2 linked regions of the Alligator mississippiensis genome follow. The protein of the gene in region 1 binds, or shares a complex with, the protein of each later gene. Links are inferred from orthologs where the notes say so. Each region holds a gene or a part of one and is shown in the gene's direction. Other genes may lie near its edges.

Region 1 (7,795 bases):
GAAGCAGGTTTTTTTCTCAAAGCCATACAGTACCTGTCTTGCAGATCTACATTAAAATGCTATGTCTCACCCTACAATACTGACAGCTATATCAAATCTGAGAGAACACAGCGGTTGCCTGTCACAACAACTTTCTGAGCATCATGCATTGATTATCCAGAACTCATTCATTAGCCCCTACCCTGTCTGAAATTCTCCCTATTTGTGCACTAGCTCTTTTTTCCATTCATGACAGACTGCAAGGCTGCAGGCAAAATCAGAAATAAAATATCTGAACAGCACACTTAACTCACTAACCTATTAACATATTTATTCAACACTAATACACAGGCCCCTTTCACTGACTCCCGATAAAAGAACCCACATTACTTGTATTATAGAGGGTTAGAGTAAAAAAGCTCAGTGTAGGAACAGGCTGAGGTTGTTGCATTCAAAGGCTTATGTTCTATGGGCTTTCAAAAATGCATCGCTTTTTCTTAGCCTCTTAGCTAAGACATAATAAATCTTTTCTTTCTGTAATTTTTATGATTCTGTGATCTAGCATAGCATCAGTTTAATGTCTGATATCTCCTCTCTAGGGGACTGCTGTTGCTCTTTATGGAAATGGAGGAGGACTCCATGATCTAATGGGCCTTTTCCATCTGTAATTACCATAAATCCATATACCATAGACAATGAGGTGTAAAAAAATATTTTTGTTAAATGGTGTTTAGAGCTCTAGGAAATAAATGGCAAAATAATGTTGTCCTCCTCCTCCTTGTGGCTGTTATTCACAAACATTCTGCATTACAGAGAAAGGATCTGTAAGATACTTTATGGATTGGTTAACCAACGTCCAATAGTCAGATACCAGCACTGGTCCAAAGGAAAAAAAAAACAATTAAAAGGCAATGCCATAGGCTTCAATTAAACTTCATTTTAGCTTTAAGGAGGCATGCTCTTCTAATTTACCTCAGTGTAAATACAAATCTAATCTACTGAATGCATGAGAGAGATTCCAGATTTACACAAGCATTATCAAACACAGAATTTGGCCTACGTACCTTTAAATAAACTAATTCCTATCTACCTCTTATCCCAGGGGTGTTAAACGCAACCAGCCCCAGGGGTCAGATGACTGGCATTGGGGGCTGGACTAGACTGCACTCCAAATCTGGAGTGGGTGCCATACATGCTCATGTTTCAGAGCTGTGGAGCAGCTGTCATATGCATCACAGCCCCGGACTGACTGCTGCATGAGGTGTGGCTGCTTCAAGGTTGTGCTGCACATGGTGGCTGTTCCACCCCTTTGGCACATGAGGTGAAGGGGGTGTCATCTGGCACATTTCACATGCTGCCTGTGGGTTACTCCGAGACCCAAGGGCAGCATCAGAGGCCAGATGATAAAGCTCTGCAGGCCACATCTTTCAAACCCCTGTCTTAACCTCTTCTTATTTACCTTCTCTTTGTGCACTGAATGATTTCACCAAGGAATGAGTAAGGGCAGAAACTTACAGATAGTTCTTCATGTGTTTAAGTATTTTTGCCCTCCTAGCTTCCTCACCCCCATTTCCCTTTTCTTTATGTACTGCACTGACATATTAACAGTGTGGATATAAGGGTCTATACCATGATACTGATATTATAATACTATAATCATGAAAATGCATGGGGGGAGGGGGGGAAGCTGAGTACCACTGCAATAGTCCAGTTTTATGCTAGTGCAACTTCCTTGCTCTCAGTGGAATCAGATCTGTATAAAACTGCAGTGACACAGTGGTGAATTAGGCCACAATTTATTTTATGAAGGGGAGGAAAAAAACCCTGCTCATACCCTTACTGAGAATACTTTCTTTTTCACTCAGAACACTGTAGGTTGTTCAAGATTAACAGTTAGCTACATGTTTAAAAAGAGGCAGGAACCTGCATGGAAGAGGTGTGGGAGTAGATCCAAGACAAGGGTCAACAGGCAACAAAAAATTAAGGCTCTTATCCACAGCTTGTGAAAGTTAATTGGAGTCTTTCTGCTGACTTCCTTGGAATTTGAATTGGGCCCTAATTGACCAAGTACCTGGAGTCCTTGATTCATTCAGTGGGCATCACTGTACTAATGTTAATTTTGGCTAGAATCACACTTCAGAAACTGATAAAAACATCCTTTTCTGGATTCTAAAGTTATCACATTTTATGAGAAAGTTTTACTTCCTTGCCCAAAACTTAATGCAAAAAACCTTGTTTGTTGCTAAGTCTAAAAAGCCTGTACCGTATTACGAAGGGAAACAATGACACAATAATCCCACTGCATATAAGACATACTAAATATCAATAACTAATGTATAAAGATAACCTGCCAAACATCATTGTTATAAAACCTCTTTCAAGGCTAGATCCTCTTCCCACAGAAGGTTGTGTGCTTGCCATTGATTGCAACCAATGACTGTGGGATCAGGTCTTACGTTTGGCCTCTGTCTGCCCACACACATCACATCCTTTTCCTAGTCCATTACCAGTAACAAACCTACTACTCAAATTAGTCCCACCGCCTCTAGCAGGAGATGATGTTTCCCAAGATTAATTAATGACCTTGCCCACTTTGGATATTTTCCAATAAATAGGCCAGAACTAGAACATGCTGAACTTCAACTGCAACACTCAGTGTCTTGCAGAAGTCTAGTTCACTGTTCTATAGGGACACAAAGACATACAGAAAAAATATAAAAGCAATAATACTTCTTTCCAGCTCCCATGACAGAGATACTGCTGTTTTAGATTAACCTGCTCTAGCTTGTCAGACAAGGATATTTGGGAAAAAGTGATATCTTTTATTAGACTAACTGAATAGTTGAAAAAACTGTTCTTCACAAGCTTTTGGGCACAAGCACCATTCTTCAGGCATGGGGAGACTGCTGGTGTTTGTCTACTCTCCAGGGCTGAAGAGAAGCTTAAGTCAATATTAAGGCAAAATTCAGGCCTGTGAAAATGCAAATGCATGGCAGGGAAGAACTCAAACTCAGTTCTTGTCACTTGCTCTTAACTTCATTCCTTAAAACATAGGCCAAGTCCTTTTTTTCTTGTTAAAATGAACACATGTAACTGTCATCTTATTGATTGATAGCACAGTGATTTCAGTAAAATGCATCTACCTTGATCATTCATTTTCTTATAAGTTGCAATCTTTTACCAGTTCACAAAGATACTGTTTAGTAACTCATACCCATTTCAGATAGAATCTTTAATCAGGGTTTGTAAGTAACTGATCTCAGTTTGAAATATATTTGGTTACCCTTTACATGTTTGAAGGAGAAAGCAAAGTATAACTAACAGAACTGTAAAATATTCAAGCAACAAGGAAGGATTTAATGTAAGAGAATGAAATAGGTGAAATATAAATAATCACTATTTTCCCTTTCTTCCATTCGGTATGGCAAAAAAAACCCCAGCAACACGTACATATTTTTCAATTACCTTCCCTTAATTACCTTTAATATGCTCCTGGCCAAAGTTACCAGCAAACTAGCTGGGAAACTGAACATTCATGGTGGTCTGTGACTGGCATCTCTAACTGTGCCCACAGCAGAAACATAAAAAGTTCTCTGGAATAAAGATTTAACACACGTTATTGGTGCAGGTATGATGCTATAGTAACAGGAGGAGCAGCCTTGGATCAATTATCTCTTTAACCAGCCTGATAAGGTCACCATCAACAGCTGTGACACTTAATAAGCTGCCTTCCACAACCTTCCTCCATTCGCACAAAACTACTAGAATACAAAAGGGCATCTCACCTTTCTGAATGTGCCTACTAGCCACTGAATGCTACATAGGGACATACAGCAGACAGAATTTACTAGTGAAGAGCCTATTTAAATGTGTGCCCTAGATTGGCATCAAAGTCCCACCAGTATTTTTTACCAGGGAAAGATGCTGAGTCAGGTCCAGAGGAATTTACTGCTACTGGAGTTTTTCAGCCTAGTTTGTGCAAGAAGGACTCGAGCGTGCCTGGTTGTTGTATCTTGTGTCTTTACTGATTAAACTCTTGAGACTATCAGGTTGTTGAGCATTTTCCTCAAGTCGTGCAAAAATACTTCTGTCCTTTGTGTTCAAGACAAGCATAAATTCCAGCTACTGACTAGTTAGGACACATAGAAAGTTGGTCCTTCTGGTTCCCAATCTACATTTGTGGTGGCAGACAGTTCCTGCTGTCTGGCAGGGGAGGCACTCTGTTCATCAATGGAATTCCCTCTGCTGGACAGGGGAGTGCCAATAGCTTAGGGGTCTAGAGGGCTGCACATGCCCCAGCCCTGGTGGCCAGACAATTCTAGCTAGCTGTGTGCAGCCCATTATTTAGGCTAGTACAGCTCCAACTGTGAAAGGTCTGCTGCATTTCCAGTTTCTTGATAGCTGTGGCAGGTAGACATGTTGAGTCCAAGCCCTGACTCTAAAGTACAGGGCAGTGGAGGGGGGTCTCCATTTGCAGCAGGTTCACTGCAATGAAAACGCTGCTCTTACATCACTTCAAAGTGGGTGCATTTACAGTAAATTTTTCCAGGCCAGGCAAGGTTGGAAGTGCTCCAACCCTTGAGACTGGGATGCTATTTGTTTCAACCACAGGGGTTATTTATGCTGCTCTTCCCAGCTCTGAACAATAAGGGGGCTTCCACATAACAGCCTGTGATGCCTGTCAGGAAATGAGAGGGGACGGGCTCTTTCCTGCCCCTGTTTCCTGCAGCCCGGGCTTTTCTTTCCCTTGGGAGGCTGCTTATGTCAGGAGCGCGCTGACTCGGCCCTCGGCCCCTCTGCTGAACAAGGGGCCAAGTGTGCCCCGGCCTGAGCTGCCCTCGAGGGCCCCACCGCGCCCGGCGCCCGGGGCTTGCAGGATGCCTTCGCGGGGGCGGGCGGGGGGCTGTTCCCGCGCCGGTGCCGCATGCCCTGACCCCGCCGCGTGTCGCTTTGCAGGGCACGCTGGAGCTGGCCAAGTTCCCGATCCAGAAGGGCTCCCTCGAGCTCCTCCGGCAGCGGTGGGAGTCCAGCGATGCGCTGAAGGGCAGCCCCCGGGGGCCCTACGGCTCCGCCGGCGCCCGCCGCGGCAGGCGCTCGCAAGCCCCCGAGGGAAGGCGAGCTCGCCCGGCCCCGGCCCCGGCCCCGGCCCTGCCGCGGCCCCCGCAGGGGGAGGAGAGCAGCGGGGCGGCGGCGGGCCGCGGCCCGGACGGGCGAGCTCCCAGCCTGCCGCCGGATAAGAGCAGCCGCGGAGGCAGCGCCGCACCCAGCGCCGGGGCGGAGGTGGCCAAGGAGGACCCCCCCGGCGGGCGCCGCAGGATCGAGCGCTTCCACATCCCCCTGGATGACCTCAGGAGCCGGTTCGAGGGCGGAGCGGCCCCGGCCCCGGCCCCGGCCCCGGCCGGCAGGAAGGTAAGAGCCGGGCGAGACGCGCCGCACCGAGCCGAGCCCGCGAGCGGCCCCAGTCCCCGCGCCTCGGCACCGCGCGGGAAGGGGGCGCCCGGGAGGGGCAGGCTGCTCGGGCGTGCCAGCTCCCAGCGGGAGGCAGCGGCCCCAGAAGTGCCGCGGGGCGCGGGGGACCCTGGTGTTTCTAGCCCTCTCACTGAACAGCGCCTCTCTGAGGGGCCGGGGCGAATGGGGGCTTCAGAGCAGAGAGCTGGGTCGTCCAGGCAGGGGCCCGCCTCCGCCCTGCCCCGAGACCAGGCTGGACCTGGGCGACTTCAGGAGCACCTGCATGAGGTCTGTGAGGTGGCTGAGAGGATCGTGTTAGCTTAGCAAGGCGGGTCACCCACTCGCTAGTCCGAGCCGTCTGGGGGTCGACTTGAATCTTGAACGTGACTGAACAACTTTGGAGTCCCACTTTTTACCCACCACAGCTGACACGCCTAAAGACACCCTTTCTAACCCTCCGAGTAATTTATGGTGGGTTTTTTTGCAATGGTGGAAGATGTTACAGCAATGAAAACTCAGTTCATTTAAACTTCTGTTCTGTACCTAGCTTTCCTCCATAGACTGCAAGGGGCTTTACAAAGGAGGCAGTTTGCCGTAATTTTAGTGATGGGGAAACTGAGGCAGGGACCAGTTAAATGATTTGGCAGAGACTATCAACAAATTAGGAGTCTGGAATACAGAAATGGAAAAAAGCTTTTTCAACCAGAACACCTGAAGCCGAGGAGAAGGGAATGTGTTCTGCCCGTATTAAAGTCGATGACTTAAAATAAAGAAAAGCAAAAAGATTGGGTCTAGTTTGGAAAGTTAGCAAACCCATACCTGTTGTAGGATGGTGGTTACCATCACTACCAACATGAAGTAAAGGTCACTTTACAGAACTACTGGTATTGATTCAAGTACTCCAGCACAGGGCAAGTGTGTATCAGAGTTTCCATTCCTTACAGCTTTTGTGTGTAACGTACAGGTTCACAAATACACATTTCAAAATGTTAAGGAGAAAAACTTGAAAAATTAAGGTATCTTATCTATCTCCTTGGTACATGGTATACTACTTACAAGTAAAATTAATGTTGGACAAAGCCTGGGCAATCAGACTTTGAGCTAATGGATACAGGTGTTTGGAGCTGAAATCCACAACTGCTACCTGAGCCAATATGAAGCGTTGGTGAAGTATACACTGCAGTTCTCCTGCACAACCATTATATTAGTATGATGGTCCTGAAATCACATAGTCACTGACTCCACTTGTACTTCAGTGCCATCTTTCCTACCAGAAACTGAGAGGACTGCTTTGAAACTTTTATACATATAATTTTACATAGTGGAGGACTGGGCAGACTCTGCCCAGCCCGTTTCCCCTGTTGGATTTAGTTTTATTCAAACAGAACAATAAAAAGACTTTGCTATACTGCGTATAACACCAATTCTATTCTGAAACATAAACATAAGCATTCCCTGTTTTGTTACGAAAATACTTGTACAGTTGAAATCAGTGGAAGTCCTTTTGAACTCCCTTTTGGAAGTCCTTCCAACTTTTTGTCTGTGAAAGCATCCGAGTCCTTCAGTTATCTTGGAATGGAAAGGATCGGAAGTGCCTTGTTATCCCTGTGGATAGTCAAGGAGGGGAAAGATGGCTAAGACAGCACATTTCTCTCTCATTCTGCAGCCACTATGTGAAGTGGCTTCACTTGAAGAGAAAAGCATGGCCAAAGAGAATGGTAGTCAGACAAGGTGTTAGCATGTTCCTAGGTCCCTAGCTAAATGGGATTTACAATTATACCCTGAGCAACAAATTACTCCATGACTTTCAGAGACCATGAAGAGATTGACAGGACCATAGGTGTACCAGTGACCATAAGTCACACAACCATTATTAGGAAAGCAGATAGGCATTAGGCAGCATTAGAGGGGACACAAGTATGCTTTGAAGTCTACTTGCTCTTCCCTATTTGTTTCCTTCCATGATCACAAGCTGAAGTAAGACGTTGTGGCTTAGTTCTGCATGAACTCTGCATCCTGGTGCCATGTTTTTTCTTAATAAGTTGATACTGATTAAGAGCCAGTGGACTTGGCCCTTAGTAAGCCCGTTTCTTTTTAAGGGAATTCAGACCACTTTCAAAGCATACTGTAATATTCTTACAGACTTGCCCACCAATTGATACAATAATACAAGACAGACCCATGTACATGTAGGTCCCAAGAAGATTCTGATTAACCAGGAAAAGAAGCAGCACAGGACATTTGCAACAGTTTCTCAGAACCTTTCCAAGCGTATGCAATTTACCTGGGACCACTGTATTGTAATATTATGCTTAATGCTGAGATAGCTAGATCCATCTGTGCCTGAATATTTAGAGCCATGTATTTA
Region 2 (7,811 bases), on another chromosome or scaffold:
GGTAAATACAGTCACATAATAATCCAAACCAAAAATCTAGTTATGAATTCACCTAATTGGCTGTGCAGGTTGAATCAAAACCAAAGCTAAAATTCTTATTTCATCTCAGACTGCAAGTGAAAGCAAAACCAAAACTAGAACTGTGATTAATTTGTGTTTCACTTTCAGTTCAGCAAACACACAGAGCAGTGTCTCATTTCTTTTCTTGAGTTGGGAAAGTTGGAAGTGTTTGCATAAGGTCTGTTAGTTTTTAGTGCTTCCGGTTTGAAGTAGTCATCATAATGACTAATCAGAAAAAAATATAGTGTGTAGCATCATTATAGTGAAGTTTAAGCCATTGAAGGAAGGAAGAAAGTTGGTAGATGAAAATATTGTGGGCAGAAGTATGCCAACAAATCAACAAGAATGAAGAAACATATAATAGCATGTAGAAACTGTCCTGAAAGAATACAAGCCATATACATAAAGCTAATACAACAAAGTGGTGGAACAGCATCATCTGAGAAAAGTCTATTTCAGGAATCCCATGCAAGTAAACACATTAATATGCTAAACAACACACAGTATAGACTAGCATCTATATTGTTTTAAAACATTATAATTTAAAAAGTTGTTAATGCACCTCTGGACTATTATTTATTTAAAATATTTGTATCCTGATTTTCTGCTTGCACTAAGCACCTAAAGTAGCTTAGGCTTAACAATATATTTTTTTAAATTACATAATAGATAATAAGCCCTTGTAACTGATAATATGAGTAGCATGAAAGCTGCATGGCAAATATTAAAGGCAAAGTATCCTCGTTTAATAGTATTTGGGTGTCTTGCTCATGGGTTGAATTTTTTGGCAAAGGACATAGTAAGTGTGAATACAATGAAGACAATATTGGCAAATGGCAAAGCAATTGTGAAGGTATTGAACAATCATCATGCTGCTAATCAGACTTTGAAGAAATTACAGAAAAAGAAACATGGAAAGGAAAGTGCACTTTTATTGCCAGGAGGAACTAGATGGAGCTTGGATACAAAGTGTTTACATAGTCTGCTGCGCACAAAGAACTGTCTGCAGTGTGCTTCAATAGATAACACAGTATCCCAGAGTATTCCCATGAACATTCGGAAGCAGGTTCTCGACAATGATGTGTTCTGGGTTTGAGTTCAAGGAGTATTCAATTTGCTGCTACCAGTTTCAGTGGCTATCAAGAAACTTGAAGGAAATGCACCAAGCCTTTCAAATATTCCAGAGATATTCAGATAACTGAATGAAAATCTAATTAAGCTTTGGCCTTCTTCATCTCTATCCAAAAAAGAAATAGTAAAATAAATGTTTATTAAGAGATCTGAGTTTTGCTTTCATCTAGTTCCTCTGGCAGCAAACTTTTTGGATCCTCAACACAGAGGACAACATTTATCGGAAGATGAACTATCTACTGCTCTTGATACAATTATAGAAGTAGCTGAGAATGTCCCCAATATCGACGAAATAGCCATGATGACAGACATTGCCGAGTACCGTGCAAAAGAAAAACTTTGGAGCAAAGACATAATTTGGCAGGAAACAGAGAATGCCTCCTTTCACAAGGTGGAAGAGATACTATAGTACTGGACTGTTGTCCACGATTGCTCCAAGGATCTTAAGCATTCCACCAAAAGCAGCTTCTTGTGAATGGAACTAGAAGGCTTTCAGCTCAATCAAGACAAAAAAAGAGGAAAAACTAATAAATAAACGCACCACTAAGCTTGTTTCTATTTCTCAAAATCTCTTGCTTCTGAAGAATCAGTCAAGCACAATTAGTGAAGAGGATGCAGTGTGATGATAAGTTGCCCTTGCCCATAGACTCATTGGTAAAACCATCCTCTAGCAAAAGAGAATGTGGTTCAAGTAGTTCTGAATCATATTTGCATCAATCTAATTCTGAACTGGAACTAATAAGTAGTGCAAGTGATTCTACAGATAGTGACAATGAATCTGGAGATGCTGCAGTGACCTCAGTGGACAAGAGTTAAACTCTGTAGATGAGTGGACAACCATGGCATATCATGCACAGTTCTTTGGGTGTGCTAAATTTAGTGTGTCAACAGTTTTCAGTGCCTTCTCTTTTTTTTCTTAAATTTAAACAAACAATGTAAGGGAAGTTCATGCTATAGTGTATTCTTTCAGGGGTTTAGGTTGTAGCCGTGTTGGTCTAAGGACATAGTCAGACAAGGTTCCTTGGGTGAATTTGATATCTTTTATTAGACCAACCCAAATAGTTGGAAAATAATTATTAAGCAAGCTTTCGGGTTCAAAAACCCTTCGTCAGTGTATTCTTTACATTTTTACAAGTATTCCAATAATTTCTTTCCACATAAAGCTTTGAATTTGTTTGAATATAAACATTAAAAGCACATTAAGTTGACTATTTATTTTTTTTTTTCTAATCAAATATTTCAGTTCAAATACTTGTGACTATTGGGACATAAAATTAACATGGGGGTACTTTTTTAGTTTTGTTTACTAAATATAAGTCAACTAAACATGCTAAATCAGATCTCGCTCTATTTAGGGCATTGAAAATTTTCTGGAAACATTTCCCAATTCAAAATTTTGCGGAAAACCCACATCTCTGTTCACAGCACTTTCATATTCACAAGTAAAATAAATACACAAGTTCCAATATGTATCATTTAAACATCTTAATTTTGGGATTATTTCTAAAACTTTGTAAATTGTGAAAAGCCATATAAAAAGGTTTTGGGTTTTTTTTCCCCCCCCTTAAGTGGAATAAAAAAATATTTCAACATCCTGAAGTTCTCATATAAAAACATAGGAAAGTCACTCTCACATATTTAGATTTTCTAGAAGAGAAAACAATTCTCAATCAAAAAATGCTTTTAACCTTCAGAGCCAAACAATCTGAGCACTACAGAAACCCTTAGACTTGGCATATGGTAAATACATAAAGATGGTTCTAGTGCTACCAACTGTCGCAACACTGGGAGATTCTGCCCTTGCTCAGCATCATCCAGTAAACTGGGCAAGTATCCTCATGTTACAGAATACAGTATGCCTGAGTAGATTTATAACCATCTGCAAATCTCTTTTCTATATTTCTATGAAGATCTTCATAGTTTTGCCACAAAGCCACTCCTAACAAAGTTAGATCCTGGAATTCAAAACAGGACCATTAATAAGTTGGATGGAGGCAAAGGACTAAAATGTACATGTAACATATATTCTAAATGGAAGCTTGCAGTGCTGCCTCTGTTCCTAATTCCACACCTGAGTGGAATTCCAGGCCCCTGAGTGTTTTATTCACTTAAAAACAATCATTCCTAGAATTAAATTGGAAAAACAAAAAAAAAGAGCAAATGCAACCTATGAATCTGTTTTCTGTTTTTTAGGTCAAATACAAAAGAGACTTTGAAGAAAGCAAAGGAAGAGGATTCAGCATTGTGACTGATACACCTGAATTACAAAGACTGAAAAGGACTCAGGAACAAATCAGTAATGTATGTGACTATATCCTACAGTAATGGCAGGTCAGAGAAATAGTATGTGTAAGAAAAGGCATGACTGTAGGTTGGTGGTGTTTTGGATGATGTTTGTGAGGGTGAAGAAATTCAATTTGCTGACTGACTTGCGTGTGTTATATTCTTAAAGGTGTACAGTCTATACCATACACTTACACAGCACGTAGGCAATGTGTGTTCACCTCTCCAGTTTTCATCAAAGGTTTTCATAATACATGCTTATGGTACAAAGGTTTATATGCATTGTACTTTTTAATTTAATATTCCTGTTTGCAAAAATATGTGTTAATGTTTTTGTATCTATTGTTTGACAGTTTTTAACAAGAATTCTCAAAATATGCATAGGTTATAAAATGAAGTTCTAGAATACAAGAAGATTCTAATATTTAATTTTGAAAAAAGTATCCAGGAAAATGCCTTGCAAGATGAATTAAGAACAAGAAATACTAGTGATGCAAAATATTTTCATGTATCTTCTCTTACCATCATTAATGCAAAATAGTACCTTCAACACCAAAAATGGTCCCTAACCTCCCAAGTCTTTTGGGCATTTCCAGTTTGTTTATTTATGTTTCTATATAGGAGACTTAGCTGGCTTTACAAGCTGGAGAATTGTTACAGTATATAATTATAAAAGCCACCAGATATTTTTTTAGAATATGTGTTCCTTTAGGTAATTCTGCCTGCCAGAGCTTTTCTCTGTATGCAACTTTAAAAACAATGTATTTTTTAATTTATTTTACTCATAAAACAAGATGGTTGCACAGCACCAGGAGGACATAGTTGATGAAATATGTTTTCATAAAAGTTGGTTTACTTGTAAGAAAAAATATTTTTGAGTAGCATTGGCTGGGAAATTTTAGGCAAAATGATTTTTCATTAGAAACAGCTAATTTTCTAACATGGAAGCATACTAGTTTTGTTGCAACTTCCATTAGGATAGGATTTTGTTGCCTAGGATGCAATTTATGAACAGAGAGAGAGAGACCATCCCAGAAGAGTTAACTTAGTGGGTCAGACTTTAATCTTGGCGGTAGGAGTCATAAGTTTAAGTCCCTAGTCTAAACTACTCTGTTTTCAATTCAGACTAGGGACTTGAACCTGGGTCTCCCACATCCTCTGTGGGTGTTCTAACCACCTGGCTATATTGGCTTGCTTGGTCTAGGGTAGGGTTTTCAAAATTTTTGAATGTGGGGCTGGATCATGAACTTTTTATCACCCAGTGGGCCGGCGAGCCATGTTCAAAGACCTCACAGGATTCGATGTCGCATCCCCCCCCCCCCCCCAAAAACGGAAGTACAGTGTTTACTTTCATTTCCCATTGCAGCACCTTGGGCCTTAGAAAACAGCTTGGAGGGCTGCATGGTGGCCCGTGGGCTATATGATGGACAAGCCTGGTCTAGGGTCTCTATCAGTGTCTCCTGATAGAGCTGTTTCACTTAAAGAAAAAAAAAATAGACCAGAAAGAGGGGAAGAGTGACAGAAACTGACTGCTTCTGTAGCACAGTGGGTGTAGCACTCATGTAGAAAGTATTAAACCCTACTCCAATAATTTTTATTGATTTGTATGAAGTGGACAGAAGAAAGATCAACTGACCCACTTATATACCTGGCTGTTAAAGGATAGGGCACTCACTTGGGAAGTTAAAAAGGTAGGTCTACCACATTCCAGGTATCTGCCATCACCAGGACATTGACTGGTTTAATTTGGGGTTTGTCTCTCTCTCTGAAACAATGTGAAAGGTTTGTTCTGATGTGGAACATGCATGTTTTTAAAATTTCAAGAACCTGTCCTGCTCTATTTTTTGTGTGGGGAGAACGGTTTATCTGTTGTCCTCCAGGACCTTGGTGCTTAACTTACCATATTGACTGACTGTTGAATGCAGTACATTAGCATTTCTTTTCATTATAGAAAAGTTTGGGTTGGTTTAGGTTGCGATTATTTTATTTTCTAGCTTCCTTTGTCTTTGGAGGGGAATACAGTTAATGCCTGGATTTTGACCTCTCATTTCTTCATTGCTAAAAAGTGTTGTGACATTTTTTTTCTATACATATAGATGACAGGTAGACTTGAAATCAAAGAACTTTTTTAGTAGCTGTTCATTTTAAAGGGTACAATGCAATTAAATGTATGTATGGTAAAGGTTAAGTTGCATCAATTATACTTATTCTAAACTTCTTTAGATATACTGCAGTACTTTGTAGAAGGATAATTGTGCATTGCATTCAGTTTTAACTAATTAGGGAATAACTATTTTACAGATTTTTTTTCTCCACAGAGTACTTTGTGTTTAACAGTTTAGATTAAGGATCTAATTAAAATTAAGATGGTTGAAAGGTAAGTTCTTTCTGCTTACTAAAATTGTGTGGTTTTTAATATAGTGAAATAAAAAATTACTAAATATTATGTTTTGATTTTTAGTTGTTCTTTGACTTTTCCCTGCCAAGTACCAGACACTTCCCAAAGATTCTCTTTGAAACAAAAGTGCAACAACTTCAGTGAGTGGGTAAGTGAGCATGCTCTGTGCATAGCTGTCTTCACTAGAAGGAGATCTTTAAAAAACATTTTCTTTTGTCTTGATAGTAAGTCCTGCAGCACTCATGAACATTCTCATAATGATCTGACTCCTACATGCTACAGACACTAGATAAAGATACTACTTGGTTGTAATGAAAGTATAACGTAAAAGGAAAAGCTAATATGATGTGGACAAAGGAAGAAAAGGGGATGTTAAATCTGAGTCTTGAGCACTATTTCCATAGCAGTAAACCAGGCACTGAAGTGCTTAGACCAGACTAATACAAATAGAATAAGTACAGGTCCATGACAGAGCAAAAATTAGGGTGAAGTTTCTTAGAAACTGAATGGTAGTTTAAGAGTGATGTAGCCACGCTGGTGAGCTGGTAAAATTATGAGACAAGGATTTCTTAGGGTGATATCTATCTTTTAATGGACCAAATGTATGGTTAGGATACAGGTAGACAAGCTTTTAAATGCAAGAAATTCTTCATCAGGCCTGACTAGAACAAGCCAAGCACCGCATAGTAAAAAAAACAGTTGTAGAAAGGGGTGAGAGAAACTGCCAGGGGTACCAGACATACAATTAGTAGAAGAAACAAAACTGATGACTGGGAAATCAAGGTCTATCAAAGGGAGGAAGGCCATTCTCACCTTTCATGTGTGGAAAGAATTCAGGAGTCAGGTAGATTATAATATGCCATAGAAGCATATAAAGTCCTTGGTTCTTAGTGTCCTTAGTTCTTAGTGTCCAGTGTTTTCTCCCTGCAGACTCTGCTCTTACCCTCCCCACCTTGCAGCTACTTAACTTCTCCTTCCAGTTCCAGCTCTGGATGGTCCCTACTCTGTCCCAGGATGGAGAACACAGAGCTTGTGGTAGCTCTGGCCCCAGTCCAGCCATGCAGCAGCTGTTGCAGTTTTAGCATCTTTAGCTCTGGCTCTGGAGTTTGGGACAGAGCTGCTGCTGCTGCTTTGTGGCTGGGCTGGAGGCAGCAGATATGCTCCTTGTTCCCTGACCTGAGCTAGAGCAGGGCCCCAGATGGATGCTTGAGCTGCAGGAAGGAGGGGGCAGTGGGGAGAAGAGCAGAGGCTGCAGGGGGCAGGTGATTGTGGGGAGCAGCAGTCAGAGCTGCATATTCTGCCCCCCTCCCCCCCCACCCCCCCTGTACTTGAATCTAAGATGAGGAGTTTCTTTCTCTGTGTTGAATGGGGGTAAAAAACTTTGTCTTGGATTCAGGTAAATATGGTAAGTTTTTTCTCAGGTTTGCTTCTGATAAATGCTTGTCAAACAGAAAACAAAAGTCAAACAGGTACAGTTTGATGGAAGGGACTGTATTTATGAAGGAAAACCCCAGAATCTAGAAGAGGTTATGCAATATTAGCAACTGTTAGGTGTGCAAATTCCTATGCATGATTCATAAGATAAACCCAGACATTCCAAATAGGAGTCCATAGTGTCAAAAACATTCTGACACAATCTGAGTTCTTTGCAACAGAAGAATTACTCTATTATATTTCCATAGTAAAAAAAAATGAGTCAAGTGGAAGAGCTGGCATTTTTTGGAGGGATGCCTTTAGCCTAACAAGGAGTGCCTGATGTCTTAAAAAATTTGAGAACCGCTAGCCTAAGTAAAGAAGTATTGCTGGCATGGCTGGATAAACAGGATAGCATATAGAAACTTTCATAGTATGTGCCTGCATTACATCTATTTAGTTCTATCTAATGTCTGCCCAGTGTAAGTATTCTGTCAATTTCAAGATAGGGAATTTACTTAACATA

What was found. Proteins that work in one complex are often made in the same cells at the same time.
Region 2: the proteins of XIRP2 (region 1) and NEBL are in contact, whole or in part, in a crystal structure (PDB 4F14), measured with the Homo sapiens proteins. The link is inferred for Alligator mississippiensis from reciprocal best matches to the Homo sapiens genes XIRP2 and NEBL. Residues at the interface, in NP_689594.4 of Homo sapiens: Pro2420, Pro2421, Pro2422, Thr2423, Leu2424, Pro2425, Lys2426, Pro2427; in NP_006384.1 of Homo sapiens: Tyr963, Asp964, Tyr965, Asp969, Asp971, Glu972, Ile987, Asp988, Asp989, Gly990, Trp991, Met1004, Pro1006, Asn1008, Tyr1009.

Annotation. Positions count from the first base shown.
Region 1 is NC_081827.1:215,887,532-215,895,326, reverse strand, and holds the start of XIRP2 (xin actin-binding repeat-containing protein 2), read left to right. Parts: upstream 1-4,786; 5' UTR 4,787-5,388; intron 5,389-7,795.
Region 2 is NC_081828.1:184,828,791-184,836,601, reverse strand, and holds the start of NEBL (nebulette), read left to right. Parts: upstream 1-4,806; 5' UTR 4,807-5,851; intron 5,852-5,935; 5' UTR 5,936-6,020; intron 6,021-7,811. UniProt on the Homo sapiens protein: Binds to actin and plays an important role in the assembly of the Z-disk. May functionally link sarcomeric actin to the desmin intermediate filaments in the heart muscle sarcomeres.